Arabidopsis thaliana: one gene and its partner. The protein of the gene in region 2 interacts with the protein of the main gene of each other region in a pairwise test. Each region holds a gene or a part of one and is shown on either strand. Other genes may lie near its edges. The genes, in order: AT1G30475 and AT2G20820.

Region 1 (4,416 bases), on a different chromosome or scaffold from region 2:
ACTCTACTAATTCATCTTATGATCCTAAACCCATGGAACGTCAATTCCAAGAGAAGATGATGCAGCAGAAGAAGAAGAAGTCTGGGATACTAAAAATGCTTTCTCTTTTATGGTGTTTCAGCAGTAAATCAAAAGTTGTTCAGCCTTTACCGATGCGAAACCGAAACTGGCATGTCCCATCAAAGTTTGAGAATGTTCCTCCTGGCTTTGGCTTCAATTCTACTACATCGTCGCAGTTGCGGCCTCCGCATCCAATGATGCCCTATCCACCAATGATGCAACCACCAATGATGCAGCAACAACGACCACTAATGATGCAGCAACAAGCACAAGTTCCAATGCCACCTAATGTTAACATGTTCCAGTCAGCACCCCAACCGTTTAAGATGCACCCTAAGTTGCATTACGGGGAGCAGAAACAGGTTGTCACCTAAGCTACTTGTTCTGTTGATTATGTCTCTGATACATATACTAAGCAAAAGAATTGTTTTTAAGTTTCGTATCTTTTGCCAATTGCCGATAGTGAACATTTCTCAAGTCTGGCAAACTTTTAAAACAAAAGAACAAGGGTACATTTTGAATTCATTTATGTGTGATTCTCTGCATCTCCCAAACCTGGTTCCATAAACATTTGGATAAGATGAGCTTTGTTTGTGTCACGGAACAAGAATCTCATTCATAACCCAACAGAGAAAACATAAATAACAACTCAAATCTGTGCCTATTGCTAGTACTAGAATCTATTGTTTTTGATACAGAGATTTCTCTTGGAGAATACTTGTCTTGAGATTTGTCTGTTGTGCTTGTGCATCATGTTTTCCTCCGATTTAATGGTTGTTTTCATGTTCGCCCTCCAAATCTTTCAAGTATCCCATGAACAAAAGAAACCCGAAAAGGAAGAATCCACCTGAAGAGCTCCCTCCACCGCCTCCGCCACCACCACCACCACCATCATCCCGAGGTGGGAACCCGTTTCCACCGTCATCAAGCTTTGGGGATTTAACTTTTCCTGATATTTAAGTTAAGGCTAAAAAAATAAATTCTGAAGATACAAACAAGAATAGACCAGTCCGTTTCTGTTAAAGCACATTCTCAAGAATAAGAACCATAGCAAGCCACAATTTGAGTTCAAAATAACTGTTTCATATTAGCTAGAATCGTATGGTTTTTTAAGCCCCTCTTGTTTGTTAGAAACGCAAAATAGTTGTTCAACATAGAGAAGGGGATGAAACAATTTACCATGAGTAGGAGCTTGTGTGATTGTTGGTGATTGCCGTGTAACGGTCTGTGTTTGTCCTTGACTGCATTTTGAATTCTGCAGAAAACAAATCAGAATAAGTAAACAGCTAGCGTTTCAGAGACACTTAGGAAGAGAATACCGGAAAATAAACTATTATCGGCCATAAGAGCAAAAGGATCTTGTTCATAAAACAAGCAAAATGGCTTATGATGTGTAATTAAGTTATGTGAGCAAAATGGTGTGTGATGAAGTTATCCCAACAGCTAAAGATTTAAAACACTTAAACTTAAAGGCTGCAAAGTCATGAATGGAACCTACCAGCGCAGAGTTACATGCAAAGACTGGTCTTTTATTCTTAGAGACGACAACTGGTTGCACTGCATCCTGGAGAGAAGGGAATTTACTTTGGCTCCAAGGCTGGCGTTGCATAGAAACGCTTGTAGGATAACGCCTTTGAGAGTTTCCTATTACAGACAGCAAGTAGAAGAAGAGCTTTAGAATTCCATTGTTCATTCAATAAAAGCAAGCTCGAACGATGGGACTAAAGCAAGAATCAATGCTACAACAACACTCACTAAAGCTCTGAGATATCAATAACAACAACAAGTCTAGTTTCTTCAATTTGTCAAGAGCAATCCAAACTCAATTTCAAAGAATTTTCCAAAGAAGCAATTGTAAACTTAAGAGCCAACAAGTGTTGAGATTTAGAAGAGACATACCATTACTCGTAAAAGATTTCTCACGAGGAGCGAGGTACACCGATGTTTGTGTACCAATACACAATGATGGATTCATTACCGGCATAACTACAAACAGCAACAAAACAATAATCTTTAACCTATTTCACAAGGGAGAAAAATAAAAAAAAAAATCAATTTCTCATAAATCGAATAGAGAAAAAAATTATGGATTCATCAATTTTGAAATTCGATTAATGATAAAAACCCATAGAGATTTGGATCAAAGCAGGTAGATTTTTTGTCGAGGAAAAATTTGGGATTTTGGTTGCTCCTCGAAGCTTCTCGATCATAGAGGACGAAACGCAAATAAATAGTTTATAAGAAGAACAAAAAAGATGAGGAACGTGAATCGCACCTGAAGACTAAAACGCAAAAAGACGGAAAAAACAAAGATCTTTCTTAGGGTTTATGTAAAATTCTCGCACAAATCAATTTTAAAGCGTTGGCTTCTATTGCAAGAATCTAAATAGCCCAGAAAATAAAATAAAAGGACAAAATATTTCTCCTTTGTTTGTCGGTTTTTTATTTTCCAACAAAATGATATTTGTTTTATTTATTATTACTAAGGCTGATCGGAAAAAATTAAAAACCCTAATTTGAGCAGATCTTTCCAATTGAAAGCGAACCGTGAATTTTGAGTCTCTTTACCGGCGGCGAAAAAATGCTTGGTGGATTATACGGAGATCTTCCTCCACCGACCGATGATGAGAAACCCAGTGGAAACTCCTCTTCCGTCTGGTCAAGCAGTACCAAAATGGCTCCACCTACACTTCGCAAACCACCAGCTTTTGCTCCCCCGCAAACAATCTTAAGACCTCTCAACAAACCTAAACCTATCGTTTCGGCTCCGTACAAGCCTCCTCCTCCTTCGAATTCATCGCAATCGGTGCTTATTCCGGCGAACGAATCAGCACCTTCGCATCAGCCTGCATTGGTTGGTGTGACTTCATCGGTGATTGAAGAGTACGATCCAGCGAGACCTAACGATTACGAGGAGTATAAGAGGGAGAAGAAGAGGAAAGCTACGGAAGCTGAGATGAAACGAGAGATGGATAAGAGAAGGCAAGAGGATGAGGAAAGAGATAAGAGAGAAAGAGAAGAGAGGGAGAAGGAGAGAGAGAGAGATAACAGTGATCCGTCTCGGTTGAATATCTCCGGTGAGGAAGCGTGGAAGAGACGCGCTGCTATGAGTGGTGGTGGAAGTGGTGGGAAGGGAAGATCTTCGTCTCCGCCGGGGAATGTTGATGGGTTTAGTATTGGGAAATCGGAGACGAGTGGGTTAGGAGTAGGAGCAGGTGGACAGATGACAGCTGCTCAGAGGATGATGGCGAAGATGGGATGGAAACAAGGACAAGGGCTTGGGAAATCAGAGCAAGGGATTACTACGCCATTGATGGCTAAGAAGACTGATCGTAGAGCTGGTGTCATTGTCAATGCTAGTGAGAATAAATCTTCTTCGGCGGAGAAGAAGGTTGTTAAGAGTGTTAATATCAATGGTGAACCAACCAGGGTTTTGCTTCTTAGAAACATGGTATGCGTTTCAATAACATCTCTTATCAGCTTATGGATTCTTCAGTTCTTGAGTTTGGATGCCACAGTCTTAGTTGAATCAGTATTAGTAGGCCAAAGTCAATTTAGAACTTATTCAAATCAAACGTGTTGTTATACTAGGACACACTTTGCTACAATGATTTAGAACGGTCTGTTAGAATGATATTAATGTATTCCAACATTTGATGTGGTCTTAGTTAAGAAATTGTTACTGCTAATTGTTGGCAGCATGTGAGGGCGTAGTATTGAATTACGGTTGACAAAGATGTCTCTGTGGAAATGGAATTGAGTAATGGGATGCCATTGGAAAGTAGGACCTTTTGTGACTATGTTGATTTTTTCAAGCTATCGTGAAGTTAAAAGCTTTGGCAGTTTTGTGATGATAATTCTTTGTTGGTGAAGCTTGTAGCTTAGAGTGTTACTTATGTTATGGTAGCCTAGTACACTGCTGGATTGTTATAGAATTTAGATTGCCTACTCTTTGGAAACAACAGTTTAAGTTACAGTATCTTTCCCTCAAATAGTCAAATAAGCATTTGGAACCGTACTTTGGTTTTTGGGGATAGCCTAACCTGAGGCTTTAAGCTTGGATTGCCAAATACTAGAGAGTTGACAAATGAATCCGTAGGGGTTGGCATTTGATGAAGTAATTTTTATGGTTCTTGGATTACTGTAATAACTCGCAAGATCTATTCTTTCTGTGTTTTTTTTTTTCATTTCTTGACTAATTTTTGATGGAAATTCCAACCATGTAGTTATTGGTATGTGAATGAATGCATCTTCACATTGATTGTCATAAACGTAGGCACATTCTTGTTATTCTGATTGTTTTCACCATAACAAGTACTTGTTGGAAAAATCGTATCTTCCTTGTCTCATGTATCA
Region 2 (3,759 bases):
CAAGATAACATGCGAGGAGGAGGAAGAAAGAGGGAGCAGGAAAGTGTTCAGAGGTTGCACTCGCTCACCGTCCTGCAAAGGCTGCACTTCTTGCGTCTGCTTCGGCTGCAAGCTCTGCCGTTTCTCTGATTGTAACTGCCAGACTTGCCTCGATTTCACCACCAATGCCAAACCCATTTGACTTCATTTCTCTAACTTATTTAATTCTTCTGCAAAAACTTGTAATGTATGCTCTGCATTTTCTTTAATCAGTAGCTTGTTACACCTGTTATGCGAGTGGAGAGACCAAGTAGGGATCACATACTGGAAAAAAAACCGACTTGGGGCTTGGAAAACTAACTTAGCACCACTACGAGGACATGAATCTAATCTAAATTCAACCATATAACCTCGGCAAATACACACAAGGCAGGAGATCGATAACAAGAAGCAAGCAGTGACTGTAATAGTATGCTGAATAAACTATGTCAAGAATAAAAGCATGAGACAAGAGCAGCTACAAACATTTGGATTAGCCAATATGTACTTGGAAGGTGGACGACATACATGGAGAAATACCTCCAACAAAAATTGGTATCCAAACCAGACAAATAGAATGGAAGGAAATAGCTCGAAAGCATATATCAACATACGTAGTGAGACAATGATTTGCTTAAATCCTGTCTGTTTCAAACATAGGATATTATGAAACACAAAACTGTCAAGAATTTATCCATTGCAGACATCATCAGATCTCAAAAGTGATGCAAATTATTTTCAAAATGAAACACAAGACCAGTCACAATCTGCTAAAAGGGAAAACAAAGTGCATGAGAATGAGAGGTCTCTCCATAAAAGGTCTTCCTGGTGACAATGAAACTCATTGTGTACTCTCCACAGGCGTCTGCAAAAAAAACTATGTATAAGGGAAGGAACCCGAAGCCTCTAGGCAATGGAAGAAGAGCAAGAGCTGAAGAGCAAGAGTAAGTACCTCTTTTTTTCCCCCAGTGGCGAGCTTGTATCCACTGTAGAAAAGTAAGCCCCAGCCAGACAGAGAAATAAGCACAAACTGCAGATTGGTCAGGTAACAGAAGGAATCAATTCAACAAAAAATCACAGCTTTCATTAACAAAAACACAGTGTCACAAACACATGATTGATACATACATGCTCCTCTTTCCAGTTTCCTGGGTTCGTGGGCTGTTTCCAGAAGTCAACCTTGGTAGATCCATGGTGATCTGCACAGTACACAGACAAATCCACAAAATGCTCAAAAACTCAATTTTTTGTATACAGTGATTCAATTTGGAACCTGACAACGCCAATGATATACAAAATCTTCACAAAGTTGTAACATTTGGTTCATCTAAAATTCGTGAAAACACAAATTAGACATAAAATGTGCGAAATAAGCTATACGCCACCAAAATTGATACCGAAAAAAATCGTAAATATCGAAAAGAGAAGGAAGAGGGAGAGAGAATTTACCAGCGGCGCCGGCGAGGCAACGACGCTGACCAATAGAAGCGGCTCCAGAGGAAATACGAGCAGATGGGATCTGAGCTAAGCTCATGGCACGGCGAGCGAAGGACGCCATCGATCTCGACTTTTGATTTAGGGTTTTCTTGAGGATCTGAGAGGCTCCCTAATGTTTTCCAGGAGACGAGATTGATTGATGAAGGAAGAGAGAATCAAGTGACCATAAAGAAATGTCTTTTCTGATTCTAAACGACGCCGTATTGTGTGCGTTTTGTTTGGGTAACACCTAAAAGCCTCCTTCTCCGTCAGAGGCTTTTGTTTTGTGGACTTTTGTTCACACTCTTGGCATTTTTCATCTCTCTGTTTCTCAATTCTGTATGTACTAAGAAAACAGATCTTTAGTTGTATTTTTGAATTCCACTTCCATGTTTGAGTATTTCAACATCAACATTATCAATAGGTAAAAAAAAAAAGATCGATAGAAATAAAAAAAAAAGCCTTAATAATCGCTAGTGCTTGAGTTTTGTTCATCATATGTAGAACATGGTCGGCTCAAACATTATTAAGATCCAATGCAAAGAGATTCGAAGTAAAACACCGAAAAAGTCTTTTGAATGCAAGAGATGTGAAGAACCTGGAGATGTGTTTGAACTTTGATTCCATACTGTGCGTTGGTTTCGGGATGGGCATGGTAATACCCAAAACCCTTCAAAGTTTATAAAAGGTTTTAATCGTCAGAACAAGCTACGAGAAAGCCGATGTTTATTATGAAACAGTATCTCCTAAACGAAAGAGACTAAAGACTGTGAAGGAAGTTGCTAAGTTTATTGAAGACAATAAACAATTTAAAGACATGAAGATTGAAGAGGTTTCTTTTGTCGCACCCAAACGGCTGAAAAGAAAAAAATATAAGTAAGGATGTTGTAGTTACCGATAACAAAACTTGAAAAGATCAACAAGTTAAGGTTTATTCTGTCTCTTTAGTTTCCTTAACTTGTTGATTTTTCAAGTTTTAATATCAACAACTATAACATCATTATTTAGAACTTTTTCCTTTTCAGCTGTTTGGGTGCGGTAAAAGAAACCTCTTCAATCTTCATGTCTTTGAATTGTTCATTGTCTTCAATAAACTTAGTGACTTTCTTCACAGTATTTAGTCTCTTTCGTTTAGGAGCTAATGTTTCATATTAAACATCGGCTTTCTCGCAGCTTGTTCTGACGATCAAAACCCTCTTCAAACCTTGAGGGGTGTTGGGTATACCATGTCCATCCTGAAACCAACGCACAATAGGGGAATCAAAGTTCACAACCACATCTCTAGATTTTTCACATCTCTTGCATTCAAAAGACTTTTTTCGGAGTTTTACTTTGATTCTTTTCGTACTCTTCTTGTGACTCTCTATATCTCACTTTGAAACACTTTCAACATTGTGCAGTGTATGAGTCAATTAACGTTGTCATTGGTTTTCGCTACACACATAGATCAAATAGAGATTAAGATTATGACAAAACGAATTTTCATGCAATGATAAAAATAAAAAATTGTCAATATCTTACGTGATGTACCTTGAGTAGTTGTTTTCACCATATTTCAAGTTTTGAGGGAGATGAAGAGATTTTTTTTTGTGGTTTGGCTTTATGGTTGAAATGACGAAGGAAAAATTATCTCCTATAAATTTCGTTTTTACTCAATAAACTCTCTTTTGCTTCTCTGTTGCAGCTGATGGGTTATTAGAAGACATATCATCATCTTCTTCTTCCGACGAAGAGTCTTCTTCACCTTCTTCTCTAATTGGAGTCTCCATTTCATCTTCGTCGCTTGAAGATATCTTCAGCGGAATTTCTATCGTTTCTAAGACATGGATCGATTTAGGGTTTATGAATAGAATTTAGACATTGAAACTAAAAGGTTTTGCTTTGCTCTTTACCACTTGTTTAGGGTTCCTTTATATATAGAACAAAGCGTCTCTCTCTTTTCATTTATTTTCCTCTTTTTTTCATGACGTTTCGATTTCCCATTTGAGAGGACTGAATATTCTCTTTCTTGGTAAACGCTTATTCTTAAATCTTAATAGTAGTATATAAATGATATTACTGTTTCCAAAGTCGTTCAAATAACTGGGCCACGCTTTGGCTGAGTAATAATATCAGGTTTGAAATTACTGTTTCATGTCTTTAATGTTCATGTAGTCTCTCGCTGTTTTGAACTTGTGCATTACTCTCTTTTCTTGTATTCCTAGTCCATGTCATCAATAAATGTTTCTAGAGCGGACGAAGAGTACTTATCTTGCAATGTGACAT

The links.
Region 1: the proteins of AT2G20820 (region 2) and AT1G30475 interact in a two-hybrid assay, tested with the Arabidopsis thaliana proteins (one large-scale study listed by BioGRID).

What each region holds. Positions count from the first base shown.
Region 1 is NC_003070.9:10,787,674-10,792,089, forward strand, and holds AT1G30475 (uncharacterized protein), read right to left. Parts: upstream 2,271-4,416; coding exon 2,186-2,270; exon of another isoform or gene 2,047-2,185; coding exon 1,960-2,046; intron 1,705-1,959; coding exon 1,559-1,704; intron 1,316-1,558; coding exon 1,240-1,315; coding exon of another isoform or gene 1,148-1,239; exon of another isoform or gene 1,010-1,147; coding exon 828-1,009; 3' UTR 553-827; downstream 1-552. Other genes in the region: AT1G30473 (Heavy metal transport/detoxification superfamily protein), read left to right, coding at 1-434; DRT111 (D111/G-patch domain-containing protein), read left to right, coding at 2,642-3,511.
Region 2 is NC_003071.7:8,962,267-8,966,025, reverse strand, and holds AT2G20820 (uncharacterized protein), read right to left. Parts: upstream 1,678-3,759; 5' UTR 1,577-1,677; coding exon 1,468-1,576; intron 1,218-1,467; coding exon 1,147-1,217; intron 1,049-1,146; coding exon of another isoform or gene 1,005-1,048; coding exon 971-1,004; intron 884-970; coding exon 789-883; 3' UTR 602-788; downstream 1-601. Other genes in the region: ULT2 (Developmental regulator, ULTRAPETALA), read left to right, coding at 1-181.